2 linked regions of the Drosophila melanogaster genome follow. The protein of the gene in region 1 interacts with the protein of each later gene in a pairwise test. Each region holds a gene or a part of one and is shown on either strand. Other genes may lie near its edges.

Region 1 (7,535 bases):
ATGGTGGTGCCACTACTGTCCTCTCACTGTCCTTTGGTTGCTCCTTCGCCGGCTCATCGGAGTAGCCCGGCGGAGCGGGTCCTCCGAAACCGGGTCCAAATTGTTGGTAGGGATTCTGGCCGGGCACAGGTCCGCCGAATCCTGCGGGCACATTGAATCCTGCTGGACTGGGTCCTTGGAAGGGACCCTGGGGATTTGTGAGGGGAAGTCCCTGGTTTGTCAAGAACTCCGGTGGATATGCGGATCCTGGGAAGGGCCCTCCCTGTGGCGGGAAGTTACCTCCTAGGAAACCATTGCCCGGTATTCCCTGTGGCCCGAAGGCACCTCCTTGTGATGGGAACACTCCCTGCTGTGGTGAGAAGGGAGCTCCTTGCGTTGGGAATCCATTGCCAGGGATGCCTTGTGGCTGGAAGCCAGCTCCTTGTGGGGGAAACCCACCTGCCTGCGGGAAACCACCTGGCTGGGCAAAATTACCAGCTTGCGGACCGAAAGGACCACCTGGTGGCAGTTGGAAGGCCGCATTCGTAGGACCCCCTGCGAATGCGCCTCCATTGGTAGGACCCGCCGGGAATGCACCTCCGTTGGGATAGGCCGAAGGCACTGGCCCAATACCATGTCCTCCTCCCTGCTCGACAGGACCTCCGCCGAAGCCGTAGAATGGTGGATAGATGGGCAGAGGGAAGTTTGGCGGCTGGACAGGCTGTGGCAAAACGTTGCTGCCCGTGGGAATGGCATAGCCCGGCGGCAGTGGCAGTCCAGTCGATGGATAGAATCCAGATGGATCCTTCTGCACCTCCTGGCCATCAGCAGCAGACCGTGTGGTTGGCTCCAGTTCCGCACTGGGCGGTATATATTCCCTGGGCAGGTGACTCACATCTCCGTTGATCAGGGGCAGAAGTAGGACCACAACGGCCCATGGCTGCATCATCTCGAGCTCCGGTTTGATCTCTGGGAACTTGCACGGCGACGGTGGCTATGCGGCCACGGGCCCCAAATCCGCCATATATAAGACGGCATATCAACATATTACATAAATTCGCGGCCGGCTCATTTCACTTTCGCATTCGGCGAACGGAAATTGCTTTGCATCATCACAAAGGTTCCATAAATAATCGCCAATCCAAAGGTGATCGAAGGTGCGAGGGGAGGTGCCAAAACTGAACTATAAAATTTAATTTAGCGGCCGGATTTTACATAAATAAACTAACGCCGAAATCGAATGTTAAATTCAGCATCGCACAAAGAAAAGAGGCGATAATGAAAAAGATTCAATAAACGAAAAGAAAGAACAATGAAAGGGTAACATTTTATTTGATTTAGATTCAAGTTCTTGCTCAGCTTTATGATGAATATTAAATTTTAAAAATTACTACCTGAAAGCAAAAGGGTGTTAATTAAAAACAGGAAAAACGTCGAGGAGGTTCGTTTTATTTACTGTAATATACTAAATAATGGTTTTGAATGATTTCAAAAAGTCTTGAGTAAATAATTTTTCAGAAATGCCAAGCACTCTCAGAAAATGTATCTGCAAGTCATAGTTTTGAAATACTCAAAAGCTTAGTGTTAAAACTAGGAAAACCATAAAGTTTCATGCTATATTTAAACTAAAAGCTCTTTGAAAATGCTTAAAATAGTCGCAGCTTCCAAGTTTAATCAAAGCTGCAAGCTGTTTATAAAAAGCCCAACTTAATTAAAGCTTTATATTATATTTTTTAACGCTAATACTTAGTTAAAACATTGATGTATGTTAAATGTTTATGTTCTTGTCCTACAGGTTTTAGTGTTAACTAGTCGAAGAATTAAGCTTTTTAATTTTGAAAATTACCATTATAGACTAATGCCAATAAATCTTCTTTACTTTGTATGGACATATCATTCGTATACTTTATTATATTTTTATTGGCTTATAAAGTGCCACCTTTTGTCTACTCTGAAGTATTAAGCACCAACAAGCACTTGCTTTTGACGTTCGATTTTGAAAACGAACCGCACTCAAACCGCATCAAAACCGCAACAAAACCGCACCTAAACCGCAACCAAACCGCACTCAAGTCGCGCGTGGTTTTTAGTACGCTATTTTGGTATCCTGGTCCGGAATTTTGATATAAAGTGAATAGGGATACACTTGTTAAAAATTTTATTAATATTAATATTAGACGCTTGTTTTTATAACTCTGAAACCCATTTTAAAAACAAAAGTATTTATTTGGATTATTGATGTTTCGGTTTATTTCGTTGTAAACAAAAGTTTACAAAACAAAAAAAAAAAATATATGGTTAATTTGGGCAGTATGTAGTTATGGACACTGTTTCGTGTTCAGTTGCAGGCCTCTTCGTTGAAGATCCCTACTTCCTGTAGACGTAGCCACCGTTGGAGGCGTACTGGGTGCCCACATCCACGGAGGGTGCAGAGTAGCTCACCGATGGGGCGGAGTAGCTGACGGCAGGAGCGGAGTACGACTGCTGGACAGCAGGGGCGGAGTAGCTGACCGATGGAGCGGAGTACGACTGCTGGACAGCAGGGGCGGAGTAGCTGACCGATGGAGCGGAGTACGACTGCTGGACAGCAGGAGCGGAGTAGCTGACCGATGGAGCCGAGTAGCTCACAGAGGGTGCCGAGTAGCTAACAGAGGGGGCGGAGTAGGTCCTCTGGACAGCTGGTGCGGAGTAGGTCCTCTGGACGGCCGGTGCGGAGTAGGTCTGCACAGGAGGCAGGTACTCGTTGCTGGGGGCGACATACGACTGCTGGATGGCTGGAGCGGCGTAGGTCTGCTGCACGGCTGGTGCGGAGTAGCTCACCGAGGGAGCGGCGTACGAGCTCTGGACGGGGGGCAGGTACTCGTTGCTCAGGTGGCTAACATCGGCGGCCACGCAGGCGAACAGGGCGAAGGCAATAAGGAATTTCTGCAAGTAGGACAACACACTTCACACATTACAAACACAGCAAATTTTTTAAGCACCGCAAAAAAAAAAAAAATTTTGTCAAATAATATTGTTAAATCGATGTATCCTTGTTTCAAGCTGAACTTGTAATCCTTCACTGACCATCTTGAGTTGAGGTTTCTGCGTTTTCAAGCGACTGTGCTGGATGAGCTAGAGGCTGCGACTGATGCCGGTCCCTACCAGCCGCCAGTCAATTTATAGCTGCCGGCCGTCTTCGAAGAAAAGCCCCGGTTTTGGAGAGCCCGTTCCAACTGCAGCGGTGGCACACCGGCACTAACGGCAGACGCCGGGCAAGAAGAAGAGCAGGCTTAAGCGGCCAGCGGACCAAGAAGAAGCCGCCGCAAAAGACGTCACCATGAAATCAAGACAAACAAACGGCTGACTGGTGCTGAGGGGCTGAGGGGACATAGCCACATAAGTTGGCAGCTAATTGTGAAAACTGTTAAAAAGTTTAAGTATTTTCAATTAAGAATATGCTTCACTTATAATTGTTTATGTACACCAGACCGTTTGCAATGTTCAATTAAGTAGTAGTGGTAGCACAATGCAAAATAAGTAATAATATAAAAGATTTAGATACTAACATTTGAGCTAATCACCTATTTACAACTTAAAACTGCCGACTTGTTAAATATTTACTTACTTCTTAAAAACTGAGTTTTGAAAAAAAAATGGTAACTTGAAACGTTAACTAGCATAGATCATTGGCAGAGCTTACTTAGTTAGATGGTTTTGGCAATAAAATGGCTAAAATGGCAACACTAATCAGGGCGGAGGTTAAAAAGCATATATAGGGAGGGGGCTGGCTAAACTACCAAACGGAAAATCACATTAAAATTAAATTCAACATAAAAATCGAACGAAATCGCACATGCAAACGGGTTTGGCTCATTTACGATATTATATTTTTTTCCATCCACGCAACGGGTTTGCGGCGGGTGAACTACTTTGGGACACCTTTTTGTGGTCTCTTCAATCTGGCTTATTAGCGTCGGACTCAAGGGGAATGGAGGGAGGGAGGGGGGGGGGGGGGGTTTGTGCCGCACAAAGCCCAAAAAAAAGGGGGAAAAAAACTAAGGGGGTTCCACTAATTAACATTCAATTTAACACATTATACACCGGAGCAACCATTTTTCTTGTTTCAACCGCAGAAATGGGCCGGCGCACAAAAAGAGATCCATTTGGCCTCGTTCGAGACACTCGCCCAGATTGATGGCCCCCACAGAACGTCGTGTTTCGAAAAACGGAGCCCCACTCGCACTTTCTAAAAACCCATAAACACACAAAACCCATCAGTGGAGACCGACAGAAGATGGCCTTGAGAACAGACGCCGGCCGCCAGAGTTACGAGTTCCCCAGCGGTCTTTACATAATAAGTAACAACTTTTACTTGCTGCCACATCTCGAGCGTCTTTCCACTGTCCGTGAACTTGAAATGCAGCACAGCCAGAAATTTACAATTCAATAAATTTTTAGCAAGACCTTTGCAATTTTTGAATTAATATTCAAATCCATCAAACGTATTGATTCTCTTGCAACATTGTAGCATAGAAACATAAAGAGTAATTTTTTAAGATTATCTATGTATCATATTCGCAAGGTGGGTAACCTATTGACGATTTATAGCCCGTTCACATATGATTCGCCTGTGATTCGCCTGTGTCAATAATTAAAATCCATTTTTATATCGATTTCATTTATGATCACGTTGATGAATTATCTTCAAGTGTAAAAAAGGCAGGAAATGTCAAGCATGACGATGCCAAGCAAAATGTGATGGAAATTTCAGAGTTCATTGGTGATAACTTAACTTAACCATGGCCATTCTGAGAACTGCAAACAGTTATCCTTTTCAACAAGAGGTAATTAATGTTGGAAAATAGTAATTAATATTTATATATTAAGTACATTCATATTTCAACTTATAAATAAAATAAAGTTTCGATCTGGAATTGTTAGTATTAATTTTTTAACTTAAAACATACATTTTCCGAAAAAAGAAAATATACACAATAAAAACTATATTTCATAAAAATGATAAAAAAACATGCATAGTTAAAAGTTAATATTTATATGTTTATGTTTAATGCAAAATTGATTACTTGAGGCACGACGTGCGGTCATCTGCACCTAAGAATCGATGTCGACAATATCTACTCTAGATATTTATATATTCGAGTCTAGAGTTCCCATCTGCAAGGACATGACAAAGCTCTGGCAACCCTTTTAGCACGTGTCAAAAACTCAAAAAAAAAAGACGATGACTTTGCAGTCTAAAAGTCACATTTCTGATTTGGCGTGAGGACCTCAGTTGATTCACATCTCCAAGCGAATATTACTTAATATTATATTAATTAATATATTAATTTGTAAAGCACAGCATTTTCAAGGTGAGCATTTCAAGAGAATTCTTTTCCACGCACTTTACCCATACAAGTTAATAGGTTTTCCTAACGAAACAATGGATTTCAAGAAGCTGAAGAAAATGGAGGAGGTGGTGCGCATCGGCGGCAAAGGATCTATGCGCCGCAAGCATAAGAGATTCCCATCCTCGGCTGCGGCCGAGAAGCGCGTGCAAGCCACATTGGCCATGTTGCCGTTGAAGAATATCGACGAAATCGAGGAGGTGACCATCGAGTTCACCAATTCCAGTAAGGTTGTGTTAACCATGCCCAGGGTTCAGAGCACCGCTGGCAATTCTTTCTTCGTGGTTAGTGGCGATTTCGTGCGCAAGTCGTCAACAGCTGGCCCATCGAAAGTGGCCAAGGCAGCCAATGCGCCCAAGGCACCCATGCCACCTAAGCCACCCAAGCCGGAAGCTTTTTCCGACAAAAAGCCAGAATCAGAGGAGTCCATTAAGGTGGCCAAGAAGCCCAAGAAGCCGCGCAATCGTGTTCGTCCTCGCAACAAGAAGGTCCAAATGATGCTCTCCAAAAACAAAGAGGACGCAGCCATGGCTGGCTGGGATTCGGAGCCGAAGCTTAGCAATGGTAAACCAATTTTGATCTCCTCTGAAGATGGCAGCGATCCGGATAATGAGAAGGTGCCATCGGATGAGTCTGATGTGGATCGGACCATAGTCTGCGACAAAGATTCGCTGGGAAGCTTCGGCGATGATTCCGACGGCAAGGAGGACGTTGACACTACGGAGTCGATCTACCTGTCCTCCTACTCCAATTACTATTATTTGACGGAGCAGCTCTATCCAAATACTTATCGCGTTCAGGTCTCAGAGGACGAAGATTAGGCATATTCATTTGTTGCTACATTTGTACCAATTTCAAAAATAAATCGTATGAATTGAGAAAGTTGAGACAGAAAAAGGTTCCATATTCTATAGATTTGTACTTTAATCTCTTGGTGTTTATTGAAAGCATTGGTTTTCTCTACACTTATGGAAATTTTAATGATCTATAGTTCCAAAATAAAAAAAAGTTATAAATTTAAGATTATATTAGACTCTGTGGCTCTCAGTTATTTGTCTTAGTAAATATAGCCGCCGTTCGACGCGTACTGGGTCTCCTGGACGGATTTGGAGTAGCTGGCCTGCAAATGGGCAGGAGTAATGGTGTCGGCACCAATGGCCACGGGCACATGGGTATCGGGATTGAACTCCTCGATGCCATTCGATGTGGGTTCCTCGTACAGATGGGCAGGTGTGATCGTGTTCGCTCCAATGACGACTGGGGTTTGTCCCTGGACATAGGCGGCGATGGGTTGGGCGCTCTGGTAGGAACTGCTAGACGATCCGGCCACGATTGTCTTGGCCTGGCTATTAACGTAGCTCGTCTGGGAAACGGCGGATTGATAGGAACTGGAATCTGCCCCAGAAATAGCAGAGGCAGCGGTTGAGGCTACAACCGACTTTTTGAGTTGAGCTGGAGTGTATTCAGCGGGCTGGTAAGAGCTCGAATCTCCTCCGGGAACAGCCGCTCCCTGCTCTTGCTCTTGCTCCTGAATGTACTTGTAGTGGGCCTCTTGAACGTCCTGGGGAATGAACTTTTCAGGGGTGTAGGTATCAGCACCAATAGCAGCCGGAACTGGGGCATAGGTATCAGCACCAATAGCCGCCGGAACAGAAGCCTTAAGATGAGCTGGAGTGTATTCAGCGGGTTGGTAGGAGCTGGAATCACCACCAGGAACCACCTCAGCGGCCTTCAAGTGCTCGGGAGTGTATTCAGCGGGCTGATAAGAGCTGGAATCTCCTCCGGGAACAGCAGCTCCCTGCTCCTGCTCCTGATTGTACTTGTAGTGGGCCTCTTGAACGTCCTGGGGAATGAACTTCTCAGGGGTGTAGGTATCAGCACCAATAGCAGCCGGAACTGGGGCATAGGTATCAGCACCAATAGCCGCCGGAACAGCAGCCTTAAGATGAGCTGGAGTGTATTCAGCGGGTTGGTAGGAGCTGGAATCGCCACCAGGAACCACTTTGGCATCGACAGTGGCAGAAGAGGTCTGCTTAAGATAAGCAGGAGTGTATTCAGCGGGCTGGTAAGAGCTGGAATCTCCTCCGGGAACAGCAGCTCCCTGCTCCTGCTCCTGATTGTACTTGTAGTGGGCCTCTTGAACGTCCTGGGGAATGAACTTCTCAG
Region 2 (5,891 bases), on another chromosome or scaffold:
GCTGCCACTGCCATCTGCTGCTGCAGGAACGCGTTGAGGTCGTTGCTCTGCTTACTTTGCTGCATGTAGGAGTCATAGCCGAGCAATTTTGATGCCTGAATAAGGTTGTTGTAGTCGGCACTGAGAGCAGCTGCTGCCGCTGCTGCTGGCGAAGATTTCGAGGACTTGCTGGATGATGAGTTTGAGGATTGACCTCCAGTCAGAGCGTTAGCAGCAGGCACTCCCAGTCCGGCACCTGTCAGATAGCTGTAGTCTGATCCAAAGCCCAAGGTGCCCAGGGTGGTGGCTCCGAGGGCTTCCGCCTGCTGGAGGAGTAGTGCTGCATATTCCGGAGACCGGATGAGCTCGCTCATTTTTAACGGATCGTTTTTTAGTTCATCCAGCTCCTTCATCAATTTCGTTTTATACGAATTGGAAGTTGAGCTGGAGTTCGAGGAGGAGGATGAGGACGAGGACTTCGATGATCGTTCCGACTTGGACTTGCTACTGCTATGGGCGTTGCTGTTTCCGCTGCCTCCGATTCCCACACCCGTGGGCAGCGGCATATTGAAGCTATTCGAGTAGGCAGCCACCGCTGCTGCCACATTGGGGTCATTCAAACCGGACGATGCAGAGGCATTGCTTTGCTTAGAGCCACCCACCTTGGCTGCTGCCGCCGCCAACTGGTTTAGAGAGGAGCTGCCGTAATCCTTGCGCTGCTGCTGGAAGAGCGCAGCCAAATCGCCTTGAAGGAAGTTCGGAGGAAGCTGCCCCGCCAACTGAGCCAAACTAGCAGCCATCAGATCATTGGCCGTGGGCAGACAAGCGGCAGCTGGAGGCACCAAAGCTGCTGCAGCTGCCTCATATTTGTTCGGCGTAATGCTGGGGCTGTTTCGAGCAATATCGCTGACGCTAAACTTGCCCGGACTGGGCGCTGGCGAGTTGCGTGTGCGGGAGGTGGATGCGTGTGACGAGGTATCCGATTTGGCGGGCGACGGTGATGCCCTAACTGGAACCTCAAACTTGGCGGGACTGGCGGAGTTCGATTGTATAGTTATTGGGCTGTCCCTGGGCGAGGCATTCAAAGCGGAGGTCAGGGCCGAAGTCGTCACTGCAGGTGTGATGGCAGGTGGCGCAGTAACTGCGGGAACTTGGGGTGGTAGCAGCTGGCTGGGCGTTGCTGGCAAAACTGGAGCTCCTAAATTGGGCAGCACTGGCGGTAGACTCGTCGGATTGGGCGTGGCCAGAGGGGATAGCATCCGCACGGGGTTCATATTTAGACCGGACGGCATGCAGAGCTGCTCCTGAAGGGACATCACCTTAAGTTCACTTGCCTTTTGCTCCGCCTGTGCGTTAGATTCCTCCTCCGCCTTTCGGCCACTGTCCTCCAAACCACCCATAGCTTCACTGAACTGCTCCTCTTTAGGCGGATTTATCTTGACATCCCCGCTTAGATCCATAAGGACAACAGGTTTGTCTTCCTCCTTAACCTCCAGGTCATCATTGTCGATGATCTTGATAGTCTTGGGTGGAATGAAGTCGTCTTCCTGCTCACAATCCAGCACTGCACATATCCAGTTCCAGAGCGCTTTATCGCTCTGCTTGGAGGGAAACTTTGGGTAGAGTGTGTTTTTCAGCTTTTCGTTGTAGGTAACGTCGTTGTTATAGATGTTCCGGAACTTGACCATCTCGCTCCGGTACTGCGAGTAGTAGTCCACGCACAGCTGTATCTCAGAGCGCACCTCCTCGGGTATCTCCTTGTCCGGCAGCACCGAATACTGCATCAGCATTGGACGGCCATACTCCATGGACTGTCTGTTCTCGTTGGGCGGAACAATCCAAATACACTTGACCACCGACTCCAGGGTAGGGTTTTCATCGTAGTAAGGGGCTGTAAGATAAAATGTATTATTCGATTAAGGCTGAGATGAAGTATTTGCGCAGAATTTAAAAGGCCATTGGATAACACATACATATAATTAGGGAGACACAGGGCGTATAGGTGAGATCGCTGGCACCGCGCATTTTGATTTGATAGTCCAACTGTGCATCGCAGTCGCGCAACGTAGGTTCCGCCTGAAACTTGGGATGCGAGTGATACCATCCAACCAACAGCAATTGATCCTGAATCATCATCTTTTGAATATCACGCTCCACTTCGCCGGCTCGCTGTCGATCAAAGCGCGTGCTGCGACAAGGATATGTCTTTGTGATGGATAGAGCTGAAATGAAAAAAACATGTAGAAAATGCCTATGCAGTATAAATCGCAAGCCGAGCCGGACTCACTGTGTGTGTTCATGTCCCAGGTGCCACCTAGATAGCCGCACACCTCACGCACCGTCAAGTGGCAGTGAAAATCCGCCAGCAAGAGGGCAGAGGAGTTCACTGTAATGAGGAAGGGCTGCAATTTCCCCACCGAAGTAAACGGCACCGATTCAATCAACATGTTGGCGTCGCTGTGGATAAATAGAATTGGATTAAAATACCATCCAGCATATAGATTTAAACTAAAAGCAAGCCAGACTATTCTTTTAAAGAACCAACCCCCCTCAAAATTCAGTACGCATTTGGTCTACTCACTGTACTACGTTGCGATTCGAAACGGTATTATGTGCGAAAACGGTTCGCTTGACGACAATCTCCGGGGTGTCAGTCTTGCGTTCAGCATCTATGGATTCGATGGAATTAGCAAGGATTATAAAGCAAGTGAGCTTTACCTACCCAGTTCACAATCATCTAGCGGCGTCTCCTTTTGCAACGCGCACTTTCGCAAATACGTGTTCTTGTAGGCGTCCAGCTTCTTTCCCTTGTACTTGACCGAGGCCCAGCCGCAGCCGCTCTTCTTGTCCGGATTGATGATCCGCTTGCAGTGCATTGCCCAGGCGCTGGGCGTGAGGAATATTGTCTCAGTCTCATGGGATTTGATCTTACCGTCGGCCAGTAGATCGCCAACGAACTTCTGGCCCAGATATTCGATAGTCATTAAGCCCAGGCCCGGCTGCAGGACATTGGCAGCCATCAGCGTTTGCAGTGTGACGGTGCGTCCGGTGCCATTGAAGCCCTCGTAGTTCTCCTTGGTCTAAAGGGTTTGAATAGAAAATATTATACATTTTCAAAAAGCTTAAGGTATCTCGCTCACCTCATCGTCGTTGTCCTCGTCGCCAGCATCGCTATCCACATCCTTGTCGCACATGTTGTCCTCCAGTATGGCTACAGGTGCTGCACCATCCGTGGGCGGTGGCCCAGGGTCCGGAGTGACGTCCACAGCTCCGGTCGTCGCTGGTGCACGCTCCCCCTCCTCCGCTTGCACCCCTTCGCCAACACAATCGTTTGTTATTTGCAGTGGCGGCGGCGGCGGCGGCTGCAGCACCTCCCCCTCCACTTCACCGTCACCATCACAGTCTCCCTCGCCATCGGAACTGCTCAGCACCTGGTTCTCGCCTGACTCGTCCACACCATGTTCCACTCCGTTCTCCATGCGTTCTTGTCGCGAATTCTGTGCAATTCTACGGATATTTTACTTCCAAGATACTTAAGTTTTGCGAAAAAAAACTGATGGATGCAGTAAGGTAGCTGCTTTTTCTACCCAGAATACCGAAACTCATTAAAACCGCCAACCCACGGTCACACTTGCTAGCGGTCCAATTTTAACCGGTAAAAACGGAGGAATGGCGTTGCCATACATAACATGAGAAGCATTGAATCGGTTATTTATTACAGAAACACAAGAAATGTTTTTGTTTTCAAATGTTTATTTATCATAAAAGAGTTCAAGTCTTTTAGGCATTTTCGTAATCATTTATTTTGAAATCCATTAATTTTACTTGTTTTATCGTTGGTTTTAGTCGTGGCACGAAAACAGTGTAAATGTAATAATATTACTTTAAAATTAATTTTAATTGTGATCTGTTAAAGTATTTAATTTTTTAAATCATTCAAGCCGAAATAATCATTTGAAAATATGTGCGTGGCAAATTTAATGAAACCTCTAAACATCGATATCACAGCGTAGAAATCGACAATAATCATCAAAAACATCGAAGCTTGCAGCATTACTAGAAATAGTCAGCGGAAAAGGCGCGCATTAAATTGTTTTGTTAAATTACTTTTACGGTCAGAAAGTAACTTAAAATACATCCAATTACTATCGTATTTTACATGCGTTAACGAAATGGCACTTTGGGTGGATAAATACCGTCCGCGGGAGCTGTCCAAATTGGACTTCCACAAGGTAAATCAGCGAGGAAACCGGCGCATACATCTATATAGCTGGCCCATATATTAAAGTATCTCTTTTTAAAAAGGTTTTTTATTTTATGATTTTTGCTAATTTCGATGCAGGATCAAGCGGAGAACCTACGCAACCTTTGCAAGCAGAGCGATTTTCCTCATCTGATGTTCTACGGACCCTCGGGTGCTGGCAAGAAGACACGCATCATGTGCCTGCTACGGGAGATGTACGGATCCGGCGTTGAGCGGTTGAGGAGCGAGACCATGACATTCACCACGCCATCCAATCGGAAGGTAGAGGTGATGACGGTCAGCAGCAACTACCACTTGGAGGTGAATCCCTCCGACGCTGGCATGTACGACCGCACGGTGGTGATCGATCTCATCAAGCAGGTGGCCCAGACGCATCAAATTGAGATTAGTGGCCAACGGGAATTCAAGGTGATTGTAATTTCGGAGGGCGACGAACTCACCAAGGATGCCCAGCACGCCCTGCGCCGTACGATGGAGAAATATGTGGCCACGTGCCGGATAATCATATCGGTGAACTCCACATCTCGGATCATTCCGGCCATACGGTCGCGTTGCCTGGGCATACGGGTGGCGGCTCCCAACGAAACGGAGATCGTGTCCATCTTGCAGAACACTTGCAAGCGGGAGGGACTCGCACTGCCCGTGGAGCTGGCCAAACGGGTTGTGGACAAGTCGGAGCGCAATCTCAGGCGAGCACTTTTGATGCTGGAGGCCGCCAAGGTGGCCAAGGCGCCGTTTACCGCCAATCAGGAGATTCCCGACCTGGACTGGCAGGTGTTCCTGCGTGAGACAGCATCTCAGATTATCAGTGAGCAAACGCCTGCCAAACTGGAGAAGATCCGCGAACGCCTGTACGAGCTACTCACGCAAGGCGTTCCACCTAATCTCATATTCCGCGGCCTGGTCGAACAGCTGGTTAACAATTGTGATATGTCCATCAAGGCAAAGACGCTCGAGTTCGCCACCGAGTACGAGCACCGGATGCAGTCCGGCGCCAAGCACATTTTTCATCTTGAAGCGTTCGTCGCTCAGTTTATGAACATCTATAAAAAGTTCCTTTCTGAGCTGGACATGACGGATGATTTTTAAACGATTTACACGCTTTAGCATTTAATTCAAAAAACTTATTAAATAAACTGATTTAAACGAACTATTAACGTTCTTCCTGAAGATCCGTTCGCATCTGCAGAACGGCCATGCTCATCTTATCATCGGTGGTGCGCTTTATGGTCTCAATATATCTTTGAACTTCTTCTTCGAGTTTAAAGTAAGCCTAAAATAGGAATAGATTTGGAATATGATTGGAATGTATTTTGAGTAGAACGAAATTTATATGTATGACTTACCATTTCATAATCAAGATCATCCTTGCCATTAATCTTTAAACCGTGCAGCAGCAAATCGATCGTGCTGATGGGGAAGCAGAGCTGTGGGTTTGCTATGTTCACCGCGTGTTTGAATTCGAAATACTCGCTACCTGCTCCCAGCATGCCGGCGATTATTTCACATCCCAGATCTGCGGCTTCCAGCAGACGATTGTGTTTCACAAGTAAGTGGAGCAGTTCCCGGGAGTGGGATAACTTGTAGGAGTTTATCAGCCACTGGGGCAAGAAGGCGTTTAACCCGAGAAGCCTTTGAACCACGCTCT

What was found. Proteins that work in one complex are often made in the same cells at the same time.
Region 2: the proteins of CG1368 (region 1) and RfC38 interact in a two-hybrid assay, tested with the Drosophila melanogaster proteins (one large-scale study listed by BioGRID).

What each region holds. Positions count from the first base shown.
Region 1 is NC_004354.4:14,170,340-14,177,874, reverse strand, and holds CG1368 (uncharacterized protein), read right to left. Parts: upstream 3,120-7,535; 5' UTR 3,049-3,119; coding exon 3,046-3,048; intron 2,905-3,045; coding exon 2,347-2,904; 3' UTR 2,205-2,346; downstream 1-2,204. Other genes in the region: CG11581 (uncharacterized protein), read right to left, coding at 1-928; betaNACtes1 (Nascent-associated complex beta-subunit-like, testis 1), read left to right, coding at 5,405-6,190; CG12480 (uncharacterized protein), read right to left, coding at 6,427-7,535.
Region 2 is NT_033779.5:11,128,432-11,134,322, reverse strand, and holds RfC38 (replication factor C 38kD subunit), read left to right. Parts: upstream 1-3,677; 5' UTR 3,678-4,151; coding exon 4,152-4,211; intron 4,212-4,321; coding exon 4,322-5,332; 3' UTR 5,333-5,391; downstream 5,392-5,891. Other genes in the region: CG4751 (uncharacterized protein), read right to left, coding at 1-1,870, 1,953-2,201, 2,267-2,436, 2,561-2,648, 2,702-3,059, 3,120-3,458; Nup160 (nucleoporin 160kD), read right to left, coding at 5,397-5,516, 5,590-5,891.